Linked DNA regions of Oreochromis niloticus. The protein of the gene in region 1 interacts with the protein of each later gene in a biochemical or structural test. Links are inferred from orthologs where the notes say so. Each region holds a gene or a part of one and is shown in the gene's direction. Other genes may lie near its edges.

Region 1 (7,696 bases):
TGTGTTTATTTTCTGGTATTATTGATATGGATGGTATTTTTTTTATAGAGACGCACACACCAAACCAGTAATACACCACACACACCTGAATGAACCATCATCAGGTTAATTTAAAATAGATGGTACGTCCTGCTAAAAGCATGTCCTATTGTTCAGCCACTAAAGGCAGCAATTATTTCAACAGTTATTTTGAAGAATTATTTAAATTTTAACCTCCTAAGACCCGAACTCTTTCATGGCATGCATTTTTAATGCCTCTGTAAAAACAAAGAATTATCTTTTTACCTGATGTAATTTCTGAGAAAAATTATATCCACATATGAGGACATTCGTTTTAAATTTCGATAGAACACTAAGTCACAATTGAGTAATGATGTGCAAAACTTTGTATTTGTTGTCTGAACACGGCAGCATTTTTCCTGAGTGCAAAAACAAAATGAGAAACAACAGTTGTGCCCCTTTGAGCAATATGGCTCATTTGAAGTGCTGCTAACAGTTGCAGGAAGACGTGTCTGTAACAAAGTAAAAAAAAAAGTAAAAGATTTCTGAGCATTGCATGAAACACGAAACATTTCACTCCAAAACTGCTACTTCCAGCATACACCACTCCCTCCAGCAATGCAATAACCGATACAAACGTAATAGCCTGTAATTAGTTTATCTGCCGTATCTGCTGTTTCTCTCAGGTAGTTGTTTACATTGTATAATTTGTTGTGGTCAGTATAAGTCACTACAATGTGATTTCGGAAATGTATAAATATAGGGACAACAGGCTCTTCTGCGGCAGTCTCTTGTCATCAATTACCAACGTTTAGGGAGCTCTATAGTATACAATAAGAGTACCCTGCAAGTTAATTCATGACGCGAGGGGGGTACCCGGCATGTTGATAAGTGAAGCAGAAGGACCCTGACCAAGTGTCCATATATGAAGAGTTAGGAGTGATAATGTGTTGTAGGGACAGAACATAGACACCTTTGTAAATTGAAAGCTTTGTTTTTGGCTCAGTTGTTTCTTTATCACAACAGACCGTTGCTACCTCCACATTACTGTGGAATCCGACCTCCAACTCCTGCTACATCCTAACATCACTTGTAAACAAGCATAGATACTAAAACTTGTCCACATGAGGCAGAGAGTGACCTCCAACCCAGAGGGGTTTCTCTGTTCCAGAACCATAGCCTCAGACCTAAAGGAGCTAACTCTAATGCCAGCTGCTTCACACTCAGCTGCAAACTAATCCAGTGCACGTTGAAGGTCATGGCCTTAAGAAGCCAACAGTACCATGTTATTGGCCAATAGATGAGACCCTAAGGTTCACAAACTAGACACCATTTCATCCATAAAAACCACAAACAGAATTGGTGACAAGGGCCAGCTCAGGCATAGCTTAACCTGCCGCGGGAACAAGCTCAGCATTGTGCCAAGAATGCAGACACAGCTCTTGCTTTGGGCATACAAAGCTTTTTTGCATTTTGTTTTTCGGGGTGATATGCAGAACCATTCTTTCTCCAAACATGGTGTGCACAATGACATCAAAAAGTTCCGCTTTGAACATGTGCATAAAGGTCAATTCCACTTCTGGATTATATCTTAAATGTCACTAACTGGTAGCAATAAAGATTGCCATTAGTATGTTTTGCAACAGTAAGACCTTTTGTGTTTGTGTTGTTTGTTTTTGTCTTACCTTCGAATGTTTTTCCAAGGCATAATGCCAAACCAGAGCAGGTAGCCTCCTAAGCCTTATATAACCAAGCTGATTCTGGGATTTTCCATTTGTAATGTATGGCCTAGGGGTGTTTTTGCCATACCATTTAAAAAAAAAAATCAAATGCAGATTTATATATAATCAAACAAAATAATTACATCATAGTTGTATTATTGGTGAAGGTTGTGCAGTTTGAACCTCAAGAGGTACAGAGTACTGGAGCTACATAGACAGGGGCCTAGTGCTGCCATTTATTTTTTAATTTAAAGATTTCTGGATTTCTCTTCCACTCAGATTTTTGTTTAAAAAATAGAAAAAATTTCTCACTACAATCCTTTTTCTGCACAACGCACTTTAACTTGCTGGGGAGAAAAACACTAAAATCAAGCACCAGCTGAAATATGAAGTATGTAAGTCCTAATAATTAGCCAAATCCTACATCTTTGCACAATTGTCTCTAGAGGTTTCAGAGAACTACCTAAAACAGTGTCAGCCTTCATTACCAGCTTGTTGAACTTTGTTAATAACTGGCTCTAAAGCTCATGCTCCATCAGATGATGGCATATTTCACTTGCTGGCACAACTGCTGTAAGAAGACTCTAAGATATATGCTATAAGAAAGCAGCTGCAGTCTTTCACACTTTCATCTAAGTGTGTGTCTTCAGCATAAATGCGCTGTAATCTCAGCATAATTTACAGTGGCTTTTTTTTTTTTATCAATACAGCTATAAAGTGTCACATAGTTATCATGACTCAAGTATTTGTGATTAAAGGGAAAAAAAAGCAAATTTCCAATTTTCAACTACTTGCTAACAAATAATGTACTGACTTCTATTGTTTAGTCAAGAAAATATCAGTTTATTTATATAAATAGCTGTACAGTGGTACAATAGCTATATCAAGCGATATAGTTTATGTCTTCCATATTTCCAACCATATCCATAATCACATACTGTGTGTGCTACCATTGTATATAGTGTATTATCTTACTTTTTTCATTGATTGTACTTATTTGTATTTTTTTTTTTTTGTATTTCCTTCTGATATCTGTACCTGAGCTGAGGTGACGCAAAAATTTCCCCGTCGTGGGATCAATTAAGTCTTATAAAGTCTTAAAGTCTTATAAAACTATTCATACAAATCTTTGCAATATCATACTCTTCCACTAGGGGCATCATAGAGTTATACACAGATTGTTGTGAGAGAACATCATACACATACATAAAAAATCCAAAGAATGTCACTTTTGGGGACAGGGGAGATTTTTGGATTAAAACATGTTTTAGAGCATGCTGAACATTATTAGAGGTAAAACTAATTGCGGACGGTGGTTTTGGTCCCCAAAGGGAGAGGGGTACTGGTGTGTGAGCTGATAGAAGTCCCCAATTTTGACACAAGTAAACTCACATACAGCAAACACAGCGGGTAATTATCAAAAGAGTTGCCGAGAGCCAAGGACCACTCATGAAGTGCTCCAGAAACACCTGGAATAAGCAGGTACAACTGTTTCAAAGAAAACTATAAGTAGTGCTGTCAACCACCATGGCCTGTATGCACACTCACCACATAATTATAGACATATTTAGACAACCCTGTGAAATACTGGGAGAATATAGTCTGGTCAGATGAGACTAAAACTGAACTCTTTGGAGTCTGTAATACACACCATGTTTGGAGGTCAAAAGGCGCTGCATATCTCTCCAAAAACACCTTAACAACAGGTCACATCATGGTGTGTGGCTTTTTCCAGCATACGTTACTGGCACGCTTTATATTATTGAAGGAAGAATGAATGGAAAAATGTACCGAGACATTCTTGATAAAAATCTGCTGCCATCTACAAGGATGATAAAGATGAAATGAGGGCGGACGTTTCAGCAAGACAATAACCCCAAACACACAGCCAAAGAAACTCGCACTTGGTTTCAGAGAAGGAAAATAAAACTGCTAGAATGGCCCAGCAGTCACCTGACCTGAATCCACTTAAAAATCTCAGAGTTCATAGAAGGGACCCAAAGAATCTGTTGAGGATTCCATGTCAATAGCAACTTTAAAAATATGCTTAGAAATTGGTGAAGTGTTTAATACTAATATATATATATATATATAGATATATATATCTATATATCTATATATATGTGTGTGTGTGTGTGTGTGTGTGTGTGTGTTTGAGTCAAAGGGGGCATAACACTGTTCATTTGTTGTTTGTTATTTATTATTTATTATTGCAACATCCTAGGATATGTGCTGTTTTTCAGTCTCCTCATTTTAGCTTTAGTTGTCCTGTAGCATCTACCTGAGGGTAACAGCTCAACCAGGTGATGATCTTCTGTGTCGTGTTATGACCTTCTGGAGTGCTGGACTGCTGGCAGCCCACACTGGTATGCAATATGCCAGTACAGATTCAACACAGTGTGTATAGAAGGACACCTGCAGCTCCTTGGGTAGGGCTGTGGTGATGCCATCTGGAAAGAATCGGATTTGCAGCTGCTTCATTTTTCAACATGAAAATGGTCCCAAACACAGCCAATGGAGCAAAAGACACAGAGTAGGGTTCTCTAAATCATGGATTGGCTGCAGGTTCAGAGACTGTACTTCAATATTATTGAAGCAATGTGGGATCATCCTGACACAGATCAGAAAGGGAGCCAATATCCAGAGAAGAGCTTTGCATTTCGTTCAAGCAACCTGGAAAACTATTCCTGAAGGCTACTTAAATAAATTACAAGGAAGCTGTTTAAGAGAGTCTATAGACTCTGTTTTTGACTTATATGCTGTATTTCCATGTATGTTTGCCTACGTTTCAATAAATCGTTCTACCTATTATCATTTCTTTCTAGCAAAATATAAAGAAATGACTGGTCTTATTTTGACCCGCCCACCGGAGTTGACGTTAGCGTACGTAATGGGTTTCCTCACAGCTGATTGGATGAGCCGGGACCATCACTCCTTAACGTGGCGGGAGCCAGAAATGAATGCATGAAGCAAACGTGTCTGGTCCTGCTGTGCGGACAGAAACAGAATAGGTTGCTTTATATTATTTCTGATTATGAGCAGGTTACGTTCAGCGATGCAGAAAGGCAAGCGAGCCGGAGTGGAGGTGGTAGAAAGCGCATTACCGAAGCGGAAGAAGTCAAAGAAACAAGGTAGCCACCATGCTGCTGTTACTTCATATCTGCGCGTCATAGAGAGATCTACATTTCAGCTTTCATTGCATACTTGAAAGTAAACACATCACTTTAGGTGATGCTAAAAACGAACTGCTAAACTGTTTAAGCAGTGCCAGAATGTTTTGGCAGCTTCAGAATTTACAGCAGTAGAGATGCGTCCTGCGCAGCCAAACCGTGTCCTGCAGGCTCATGTGTTAGGTAAAGTTTGGTACTGCTGCAAGAAATGGCATGAATATCTGATGGGACTTGTTTCAATCTAATAATCATAATTATTATAGTATACAATAGAAACGTTTAATAACAGCACAATAGACAAATAAGATTTCAGTGGGATTTCTTTAGTCTGAGTGAGCATTGTGTTTTTGGTCTTCCAGAGGAAACCACAGATGCTTCCTCACCATCTCCGTACCACACTTTCCCTGATCCTGCTGATGTTGTCCGCTTTCGCTCTCAACTCCTTAACTGGTACAACAAGGAGAAGAGAGAGCTGCCATGGAGGACTCTGGTAAAAAGAAACTATATTATACTACTTCGTTGTCATCATTAATATACATTAATGTAACATATGATATAGAAATAAGTTTGGTTCAAAGTTAACGGTTCTGCCATGTCAGTGTTTTGGTGGTTTCTGTCGTATTTTTAGTCTTTTTCTCAGAGGAAATTTGTAGCTTTTTGCCTTTCGTTACTTTCTACAGGCTATAACAGAGTCAGACATCAACATCAGGACATATGGAGGTGAGAAGAGTTAGGTGGATTCTTGACAAATGTACACATCTTTAACTGCTGCTTAAACGTCTAAGTGCATGTGCTTTTTTTTCAGTATGGGTTTCAGAAATAATGCTGCAGCAGACTCAGGTTGCCACAGTAAAAGACTATTACAACAAGTGGATGAAGGTTTGCATCGTGTAGGTTTTTTGTGCACTGGACTTCTTGTGACATTGATTTCATTGTGTGCAACTTAAAGCTTCTATTTATTATGCTCCAGAGGTGGCCCACAGTCCAGGATCTTGCAGCTGCAACTCTAGAGGTGATGACTTAAAGCAGCAAATGCACATACAATGATTTTAAAATGATGATGTTTTTAATGTGAATGTACTGATTGTGTTGATTGGTAGGAGGTGAATCAGATGTGGGCAGGCCTGGGCTACTACTCCCGTGGAAGAAGGCTGCATGAAGGAGCGCAGAAGGTCTGATTGTGTTCTTCCCTTTATCTAACACTTCTAAATAGTATGTCTGCAGAAACGTCTCATACCTTCTGTGTTTGAGTGTTCATTATATGTTCGATTTCCTTTAGGTGGTGTCAGAGCTAAAGGGACAGATGCCTCGGACGGTTGAGAGCCTGCTCAAACAGCTGCCTGGAGTGGGACGCTACACTGCTGCAGCTATAGGCTCTATTGCACAGGGGCTGGTGGGTCATTAGACATGGATATCTGCAGCAGAGCAAAGTCTTAGGTACTCTCTTATTAATCACGCATAAGTGATGTGATCTCTCTTGTCTAGGTTACCGGAGCTGTGGATGGTAATGTCATTCGGGTGCTGTGTCGCCTGAGGGCGATTGGAGCTGACAGCACAAGTCCAGCAGTAACAGAGGCACTTTGGTGAGATTCACCTCCAAACCAAAATAATTGTGGGAATATATAAACGGAAAGCTTTTGAATGTTTTTATTTCTCTTGTGTTTAAGGAATCTGGCCAATATGCTGGTGGATCCTGAGAGACCTGGAGACTTTAACCAGGCCATGATGGAGCTGGGAGCACGAGTCTGCACCCCTAAAGGGCCACTGTGCAGTCAGTGCCCCGTACAGTCTCACTGTCACTCTTATCACAAGGTTGGGATGATTTCAAATTGCGACTGGTACCACTAAGGTCCGATTATGCGAACACAGAAGAAGACAATGCTAACACAGATTAGAAAAGATTCTCTGCAGTTAATGGCATGGGTGCACATTGTGTGTCTGCACAGGTTCATGTCAAACAAGAGCAAAAGTCTAAGAATCTTTTGGGGAAGCTGGGTACAAAGACTTCAAAGCTGCCTGACATAGAAGACTGCAGTAAGTCTCCTTCCCTTCAGACCTCTCAGATGTCTGTATAGTCCTGAAATTAAAAGTATCTTTCTATATGTGAAGCGAACAGTGTAACATGTCCCCTGTGTCCCTCGGAGCCCTGGAATGATGAGCTGGGTGTTCAGAACTTCCCCAGAAAGCCGTCGAAGAAGCCACCCCGAGTGGAGCGAACTCTTACCTGTGTGGTGAAGAGGCCTGGAGATGACGGGGAAGAAAAGTTCCTGCTCATACAGAGGCCAAGCAAAGGTTAGCACTGATTGCCACATCAGCTTGTGCTGGTCAAGCGTTGGATTCAGAATGCACACAATTCTGTCCTGATAACGAGACTGAATCAGACTACTTGAATCACTGAGAAAACTGTTAGTGTTAGGAGTGATGCATTGGTCTGGAGGCAGGCTCTAATTCTGGTAGATGTCTCAGTCATTGTGCAGCTTGATACAGACACACATAAAAACCGGTAAAAGTAAGTAAATCTGTCTGGGTGGGCTGCATGGATAAATTCTGCAAGTAAACGTGTGTATTTTCAGGTTTGTTGGCAGGCTTGTGGGAGTTTCCAAGTCTTCTGCTTGAGGTCGAAAACTCTGAGAAGAAACAGAAGGGGGCGCTCTGCGAGGAAATCAGCAGAATACTGGGAACGCATTTAACTGAAAACCTCCTGCAGTATGTGGGAGAGGTAAGCTTGATATTTAGACCCTCTCTGTCATCTGCCTTTAATAGGAAATAAGCTGTTTCTGTAACTCTGCTGCGCTGGTTGGCTGT
Region 2 (7,108 bases), on another chromosome or scaffold:
TTTAATCTTCTTGGATCTTTGAGTTCTGGATAGTTGGTCACACACACACACACACACACACACACACACACACACACACAAAACTTTCAGGACATTGTATAGAGCTGTTGTAGATTTGACCATTGACACTACTTTCTGTCTTATTTTAAACAAACTAACTGATCAATTCAGTAATAAAACTTTAATTTATCTATTAGCTAAAACTCTCATAACTCTCGCTAAAACTAATTGATAAAATAAACTAAAATAAAAAAAGAACAAGCTTTTCACACACACTGATTTGAACATAAAGTCGTTTTGTGAAACTTATAAAAGTGTGAAACCTCCTCTGGGCTGCTCCTCAAACAAACCAAATCACACTTTTCAGTAAATTATACAATGTACAAAACCTGGTGAACCAGCTGCCAGAAATAAGCTCCAGTTGCACTTGAAATGAGAAGGAGCATTTTTGTTTCAGAAATATGTTCTGACAATCTTATAAAGTCAATGAGAAAAACTCCTTTAAGGTGTTTTATCAGAGGATAACTCCACTGCAACACCAAAGGTAACTGGATCAAATGTTTTCCACCTAACCAAAATATGAACTTTCTGACTTTCGTGTGTATAAAGGCGCTATGCTGTACCTGAAGTGAGAAACACAGGTCTTCTGCTGTACACTGACCAGAGCTCAGCATCTTATGAGCAGCATCCTGTGGAAGGAATATAAACGTAAAGAACGTAAACCAAAAGTATTTCACGCCTTGCCTTGCAGCCATGATGCATGAGATAATCAATATGACACAACCAACTTTACAGAAGAGCAAAGGACTTACTTCAATGTAGGACAAAATGCCAGAAAAGGACACATCCATGCCCTTTACTGTATATGGCAGCTCCACATACTGACTCCCTCTGGCAATGTGGAGCGAAAGCCAAGTTTAGAATAAACATTAAAAAATATTAAAAAACATAAAGAACACTAAATATTCACAACTATTCAGTGATCTCACTCACTTTTTGGCCATCTGCTCTATGTTGTAGCCTGGACTTGGATCATTGGAAATCTGAGTGTAGAAATGGTTTCATACAGAAGTATGATCACACATCTGTTGCACTAAGTGAAATTCAACTTGATGATTTTATGTTGAGAAGTATGACACAAACCTTAATAACTCTGGCAAACCTGTCTAAACAGTTGCCGACTGCAATGTCGATGGTCTCCCCAAATATTCGGTACCGCCGCTCTGAGTATGCAATAACCTGCACAAAATTCAGGATGAACAAAACTCAAACTGCATTTCTACTTCAAATATACTGCTGTTTAGCTGACAGCTGCTCATCAGAAAATGCAGTGTAGTCGTTCTGTGCCAAAAAGCTCTTCATGAGGCTTACAGGGAGGAACCAACCTGTGTATTGCCCCCGCTAACATAAAGCACGGTGGGGTTGTTGGCTTTGGTGATAAGTCGTCCCATCTCTATGTGTCCGATACAGTGGTTCACACCGAGCAGCGGCTTTCCCCAAAGCTGTGCAACTGTGCGTGCCACTAGAGCCACCGTCACCAAGGGTGCACCCATACCAGGACCTGAAGGAGAACAACTTATTGGTTAGGTCTTCTACAGACATCAGTCAAGAATCACAGTCCCTTTATTTCAATTCATATCTTAAAGACCTTTTAGTACAATAATATTCCTACAGAGCACTTTGCTCTCAGGTTGCAGGCTTAATTTAAGTTCCTAGAGTTTATAAAAATAGAATGGGAGCCAGAGCCTTCAGCTCTCAGACTCCTCATGATCTGATTAAGCTTACTTTTTGGTTATAGTTGATAACTAGGGCTGGATCAGGTGGTTTTGAACCCTCCATTAGTTATGTTCTTAGAGTCTAAAGCTGCTATAGCACTAAGCTATATTCTCTCTGTCATAGTTTCAAAATATTGAAAAACCCAATATGTAAGATGTAAGACAGATAAGCACGTGTTTCTTAAAGCAGGCCTTAATAGTTGTCAAAGGAAGGATAAATAAGAGAAATTTTGACATGGTCAATTTTCTTTATAAGCTGTGGAGCTTGACAAGTGTTCTTTGGCTTGTTTATTAGGAAAAAACCCCCATCTCTTTAAGCCATCCTTTTTCTGACGGGGAGCTCTTCATTAACGAAGGTCTGAACTTTTTGAGTAACTTGCGATATAAAACTAACGTTTGTTTGTTAACAAACAATCAACTCTCAGTTATTTAAAATCACTATGACCCTTTTTGATGAGAACATGTTTGGATCAATTTTTGACAGACATCTGAAAAGTTAAAATCTTTTATATTACCTTTGGTGTATGCCACACAGTCGATGTCTGCAGGTTTTAGCCCCGCTTGCTCCAGCGCCTCCTTCAGGACGGTTAGTATGAAAGCACGGTGGTGTCTGGCTGTGTCACTTGGCAGGAACCCTGACATATAAAATAAAGCATGCAGTCAACTAACAGATTTTCATACAAGCAGTATGTTGGAGGTATCATTAATATCTTAGAGGAACTCCAACTTACCTTGACCCGGAGGTGTAATGTAAGTCCGTCTGGGGTTGGAAAGCACTTCCCCATCCCTGATTATGCCTATGCCGATCTTATTGGCACTGCCCTCAAATCCAATCACTACAGTCATGGCTGCAGAAAAAACTGTTTCAGAAAGAAGGAATTCACTGTGTTGTTATAGTGTCTTTTGATTTAAACCTTTCATCTCTCTTAGAAGTCTATTACAGGCAAGAAAAAGGCACAATAAAACTAAATCAGATTATACTAGAAAATTTTGAACTGGACATCCACATATCTAAATATGTCTGGTATGGTAACTGCACCGCATCAGATCGCAATACCCTACAACGGATAGTGAGAAAAGCTGAGAAGATCATTGGAACCTCTCTTCCCTCCAGCACAGACACTCATCGCACCCACTGCATCCACAAAGCCACCAGCATTGTGGAGGACCCCATGCACCCCTCACACACATTCTTCACCCTGCTGCCTTCTGGCAAGAGGTACCGGAGCATTTGGACTCTCACTGCCAGACTGCAAAAAAGTTTCTTCCCCAAAGCCGCCAGACTACTGAACACTCAGTGACTGGACTGACACATGCACACACACACACATACCTTCATACACGTAACTACCTAAAGCACTCATCTGCACAATCTCATACACACACCTTCATACATCAAGTTAATTTTTGCACAACCCACTGTCATTGTTGCCCTTTTCTATTGCACTGTTGTGTCTGCACTGTCTTGTGTCTGTATCGTTCTGTTCTGTCTGGTGTTGCACTGTCTTTGTTTTGTTGCAATTTTTGCATACCTGCACATTATGTAGTCATGTGTTGCTTGTCTGTTATATGTTATATGTAGCACCATGGTCTTGGAGGAACATTGTCTCGCTTCACTGTGAACTGTAACACTGCACAAGGCTGAAATAACAATAAAGCCACTTGACTTGACTTGACTTGACCACAGTAAAACACAATCAACACCAAAATTCAAGATTCAAATTATTTAGCAGCAAACATTTTTATGCAGATAACATGTTATCGCACGCATTTTTATTAACCCTGACAATATACCTTTAACCTACATATTTCCACATTAAACGTTTGGACAATCAATACGTAAAAGAACCAAAGCACAAGCATCCTGATAGCTAATTAGCTCCTATGCTAACCGCCAGAGAACAGACCGACTTTTTTCCAAAAGTAAATTTATGGTGATGCGGTTTTAAAAACAAAATATATTTACCTACTTTTTTTTAATTTCCTTCTGTAGGTCACATTGATCTTAATTCATATCACTTTAACTTTTACGCACGTAAACTTAATTGACTGGGCTAATTTCTGTAGCTCAACTCCTCCATAACGAAGCCCAGAGGACCCAAACACTGGGAGGTACACATTTTGCCTTAACATAAGACAACGTAAAAACAGAGCCTTACTTAACTAACATGTCACGGTAATACATTGTGTAACTTATAGCAGCAAGTACGTATTTATTTTTCAAGAAGACATACAAATATTGAATTTTTCTCGGTAATTTTCAGGCATGTATTTAGACAGTCAGTAGTTCAGCAAAGCACGTGGACAGAAGTCTTAGCTGTGCTGTGGCGCGTGTGTTTGGGGGGGGAGTGCCTGGGAAGCAGCAGTTGTCTGGGCTTTACATCCTGTTGTGAAAGTGCAAGTAAGGTTATTTGCATGTCTTTTCCATGAAACGTGTTTGAAATGAAGACGCTAATTATTTTTCAGCGCATTTGCATTCGTTGATAATCAGATAAGCTCGGAGGGAGGCTTGTTAGCTGTCTGCTTATTCTCCATTCATTCTCGGCGTAGGCCGCCTGCTTTCTTTGTCAGAGAGGAAAAGCTAGCGGTAGCTGCTGTTAGCTAAACTTGTTGTTTAACATGGCAAACTTCCTAATAGCTCATTCTGTTGCTGTTAAATTATATGAATGCATTAATTTTACATCAGCTGGTCGCCAATTCTACAATGTATTGAATTTAAAGCACTCAACCAGAGACTTGAACTGAAACAAAAGCTCATCTCGCTTCCGCTTTGTCAGAAAATGTGATTAGGATGTAAATAGTCACATTGAAGTCGGCCATTGTAAGTCTAATTCTCGGCATACAGACAGAGAGAACTAGAAAAACTAGCATCAGAATGATGAATTGGCCGATATTTACTTACTGTACGTATTTATTGATCCTGTGCACTATGTTTATGTTCGGTTATTTTTGTTTTATGTATGTTTATGTGATAAAAGGACTTAATTTTATCCAAATTGTTAACTGTCAAACATAAACATTGATATCAGCATCATCTGTCCAGTATTAGTTACTTTTATTAATAATACATTTCAGATGTAGTTAAGCCACTCCGCAAGGTTTTGAATGTAACCTTGAGCATCTTTGAATATACATATAAGTCAGCAACTGCTGATCGTACTGGTGAAATTTCTTCAAAACATCTCTGGTGTACCTGCTACCTTTACAGTGTTGAAACCTTTTCCATTTTTCTTCTGTTTTTTTTCCTTTAATTTCCGTTTCTAGTTTTGACCATGTTGGCCTTAATCGTGTTTACAGATCTGTATTCAGCCAAACTACTTATATAAATGCTCTGCTAAATGAATTGAATTTTAATTTATATGATATGAATGAATTAAAACTTGAACTTGCGCTGATTTTCTGAATTTGTCTTGATTCAGAAAAGAGCTGGTCGCAATTTTCCAGAACACAATATGATTGTTTCAGACTGCTGTGGGTAACATTTTAAAACGCTGATTACGTGTACACAAAGACATAAAACTGGAAACGTAACAAATCCTCAATGTTGAGATTTAGTTTTCCATTATGTATGAGATTCCTTCCTGTGTGTCCTGCATACTGGTGCAGCATTTGACCTTTGTGCACTGAATAGATGCATTACTTAAATTGTAATTGTTTTGTTTTTCAGCGGCGCGTGTGGTGTTGTGTGTGCGTGTTGTGTGTCTGCGAGGTGTGCTTGCCGTCAGAGTGAGTTCAGGTATGAAGAGGGGCAAGAAGGCAGAAGAGGCAGCTGCGGAAGGAGAAAATGACACAGCCTCTGGTACTACCAGCATGCCCTGATGAACTGAAATGCACTTTTCCTTTACTATAGATTTTCCAACATCATCTATTATCCAACCCTGTGTTATTTGTCTTTCATTTCACAGCTCCTTCAAAGAAAGCAAAGGCAGCCAAGGAACCAGAGGGTCCGATACTGTATGATGACCCTCCTGACAAAATGACCAGCAAAGATGGACGCAACGCAAACATGAAGATCACGTCATGGAATGTGGATGGGCTGAGGGCCTGGGTTAAAAAGAAGGGCCTGGATGTGAGTTTGCTGTCTGGAGAAACATTAATTAGCTAGTTTTGAGACTGATTGATCCTAACAAGCACATTTGTCTTTTCCCAGTGGGTGCGAGAGGAGGATCCAGACATTTTATGCCTACAGGAGACAAAGTGTGCAGAGAAAGCCCTCCCTGCTGAAATCACCTCAATGCCCGAGTACCCTCACAAGTACTGGGCTGCATCAGGTGACAAGGAGGGTTACAGTGGGGTGGCTATGCTCTGCAAGACTGAACCCATCAAAGTGACCTATGGAATTGGTAAGGGTGAACTTTGTGTTCTGCTTAGTTATTTATGATGCCCAGAAATGGCAAAAAAACATGTACAGCAACATTTTAAACATGTGAAATCTTCTATGTTTGAAGTAAATTATTCTTTGAAATTATTAGTGGATAACCGCAAATAGGGACTGTTTAGCATGAAGCCCCATTGGTAGTTTAGAAGGTTCTCCCATAATGAGCACATTGTGTGTGATTACCAGATTCCTGCTCTTGAAAAACTGATGTTTTTGCCTTATCAGCATAAAACTTTAGATGAAACCAACAGAGACATTTTTGGTATGCTTTACCAACACATTAAACCTATACAAACAGTTTAAGTACTGGTGAAGCAACTGATATCATTTTGACTAATGTTCTAGGCAAAGAAGAGCACGATAAGGAGGGCCGTGTCATCACTGCCGAGTTTCCCAGCTTCTACCTGGTGACGGCCTATGTGCCAAACGCTAGCAGAGGCCTCGTTCGCCTCGATTACCGCAAAACCTGGGACGTGGACTTCCGTGCATACCTGAGTGAGCTGGACATGCAGAAGCCCCTGGTGCTGTGCGGAGATCTCAACGTTGCTCACCAGGAGATCGATCTGAAGAATCCCAAGGGGAACAAGAAAAATGCTGGCTTCACCCCCGAGGAGCGCGAAGGCTTCAGCCAGCTCCTGGCGGCAGGTTTTGTCGATAGCTTCCGCGAGCTGTACCCCGAGCAGACCAACGCCTACACCTTCTGGACCTACATGATGAACGCCCGCTCAAAGAACGTGGGTTGGAGGCTCGACTACTTTGTGCTGTCGTCCTCTCTGCTGCCGGGCTTGTGCGACAGCAAGATCCGCAACAAGGCGATGGGGAGCGACCACTGCCCTATCACTCTGCACATAGCTGTGTAAGCTCACTCTGAGGTCAAAAGGCTTTGCACAACCTTCAGTCTGCTTATACGTCTGTTTCAACCTGTATTCTCTGGTCACTCTGAGGCATCTTCTCT

What was found.
Region 2: the proteins of mutyh (region 1) and apex1 form a complex in vitro, tested with the Homo sapiens proteins (3 studies listed by BioGRID and IntAct, with this or other methods). The link is inferred for Oreochromis niloticus from reciprocal best matches to the Homo sapiens genes MUTYH and APEX1.

Annotation. Positions count from the first base shown.
Region 1 is NC_031986.2:43,625,985-43,633,680, reverse strand, and holds the start of mutyh (adenine DNA glycosylase), read left to right. Parts: upstream 1-4,620; 5' UTR 4,621-4,755; coding exon 4,756-4,852; intron 4,853-5,250; coding exon 5,251-5,381; intron 5,382-5,571; coding exon 5,572-5,611; intron 5,612-5,696; coding exon 5,697-5,770; coding exon of another isoform or gene 5,771-5,781; intron 5,782-5,861; coding exon 5,862-5,903; intron 5,904-5,991; coding exon 5,992-6,063; intron 6,064-6,170; coding exon 6,171-6,284; intron 6,285-6,376; coding exon 6,377-6,474; intron 6,475-6,558; coding exon 6,559-6,703; intron 6,704-6,837; coding exon 6,838-6,925; intron 6,926-7,000; coding exon 7,001-7,183; intron 7,184-7,464; coding exon 7,465-7,610; intron 7,611-7,696. UniProt on the Homo sapiens protein: Involved in oxidative DNA damage repair. Initiates repair of A*oxoG to C*G by removing the inappropriately paired adenine base from the DNA backbone. Possesses both adenine and 2-OH-A DNA glycosylase activities.
Region 2 is NC_031981.2:36,234,466-36,241,573, reverse strand, and holds the start of apex1 (DNA repair nuclease APEX1), read left to right. Parts: upstream 1-4,033; 5' UTR 4,034-4,176; intron 4,177-5,442; 5' UTR 5,443-5,513; coding exon 5,514-5,574; intron 5,575-5,680; coding exon 5,681-5,844; intron 5,845-5,925; coding exon 5,926-6,118; intron 6,119-6,498; coding exon 6,499-7,013; 3' UTR 7,014-7,108. Other genes in the region: osgep (tRNA N6-adenosine threonylcarbamoyltransferase), read right to left, coding at 624-689, 813-891, 994-1,043, 1,144-1,239, 1,386-1,561, 2,291-2,410, 2,507-2,621.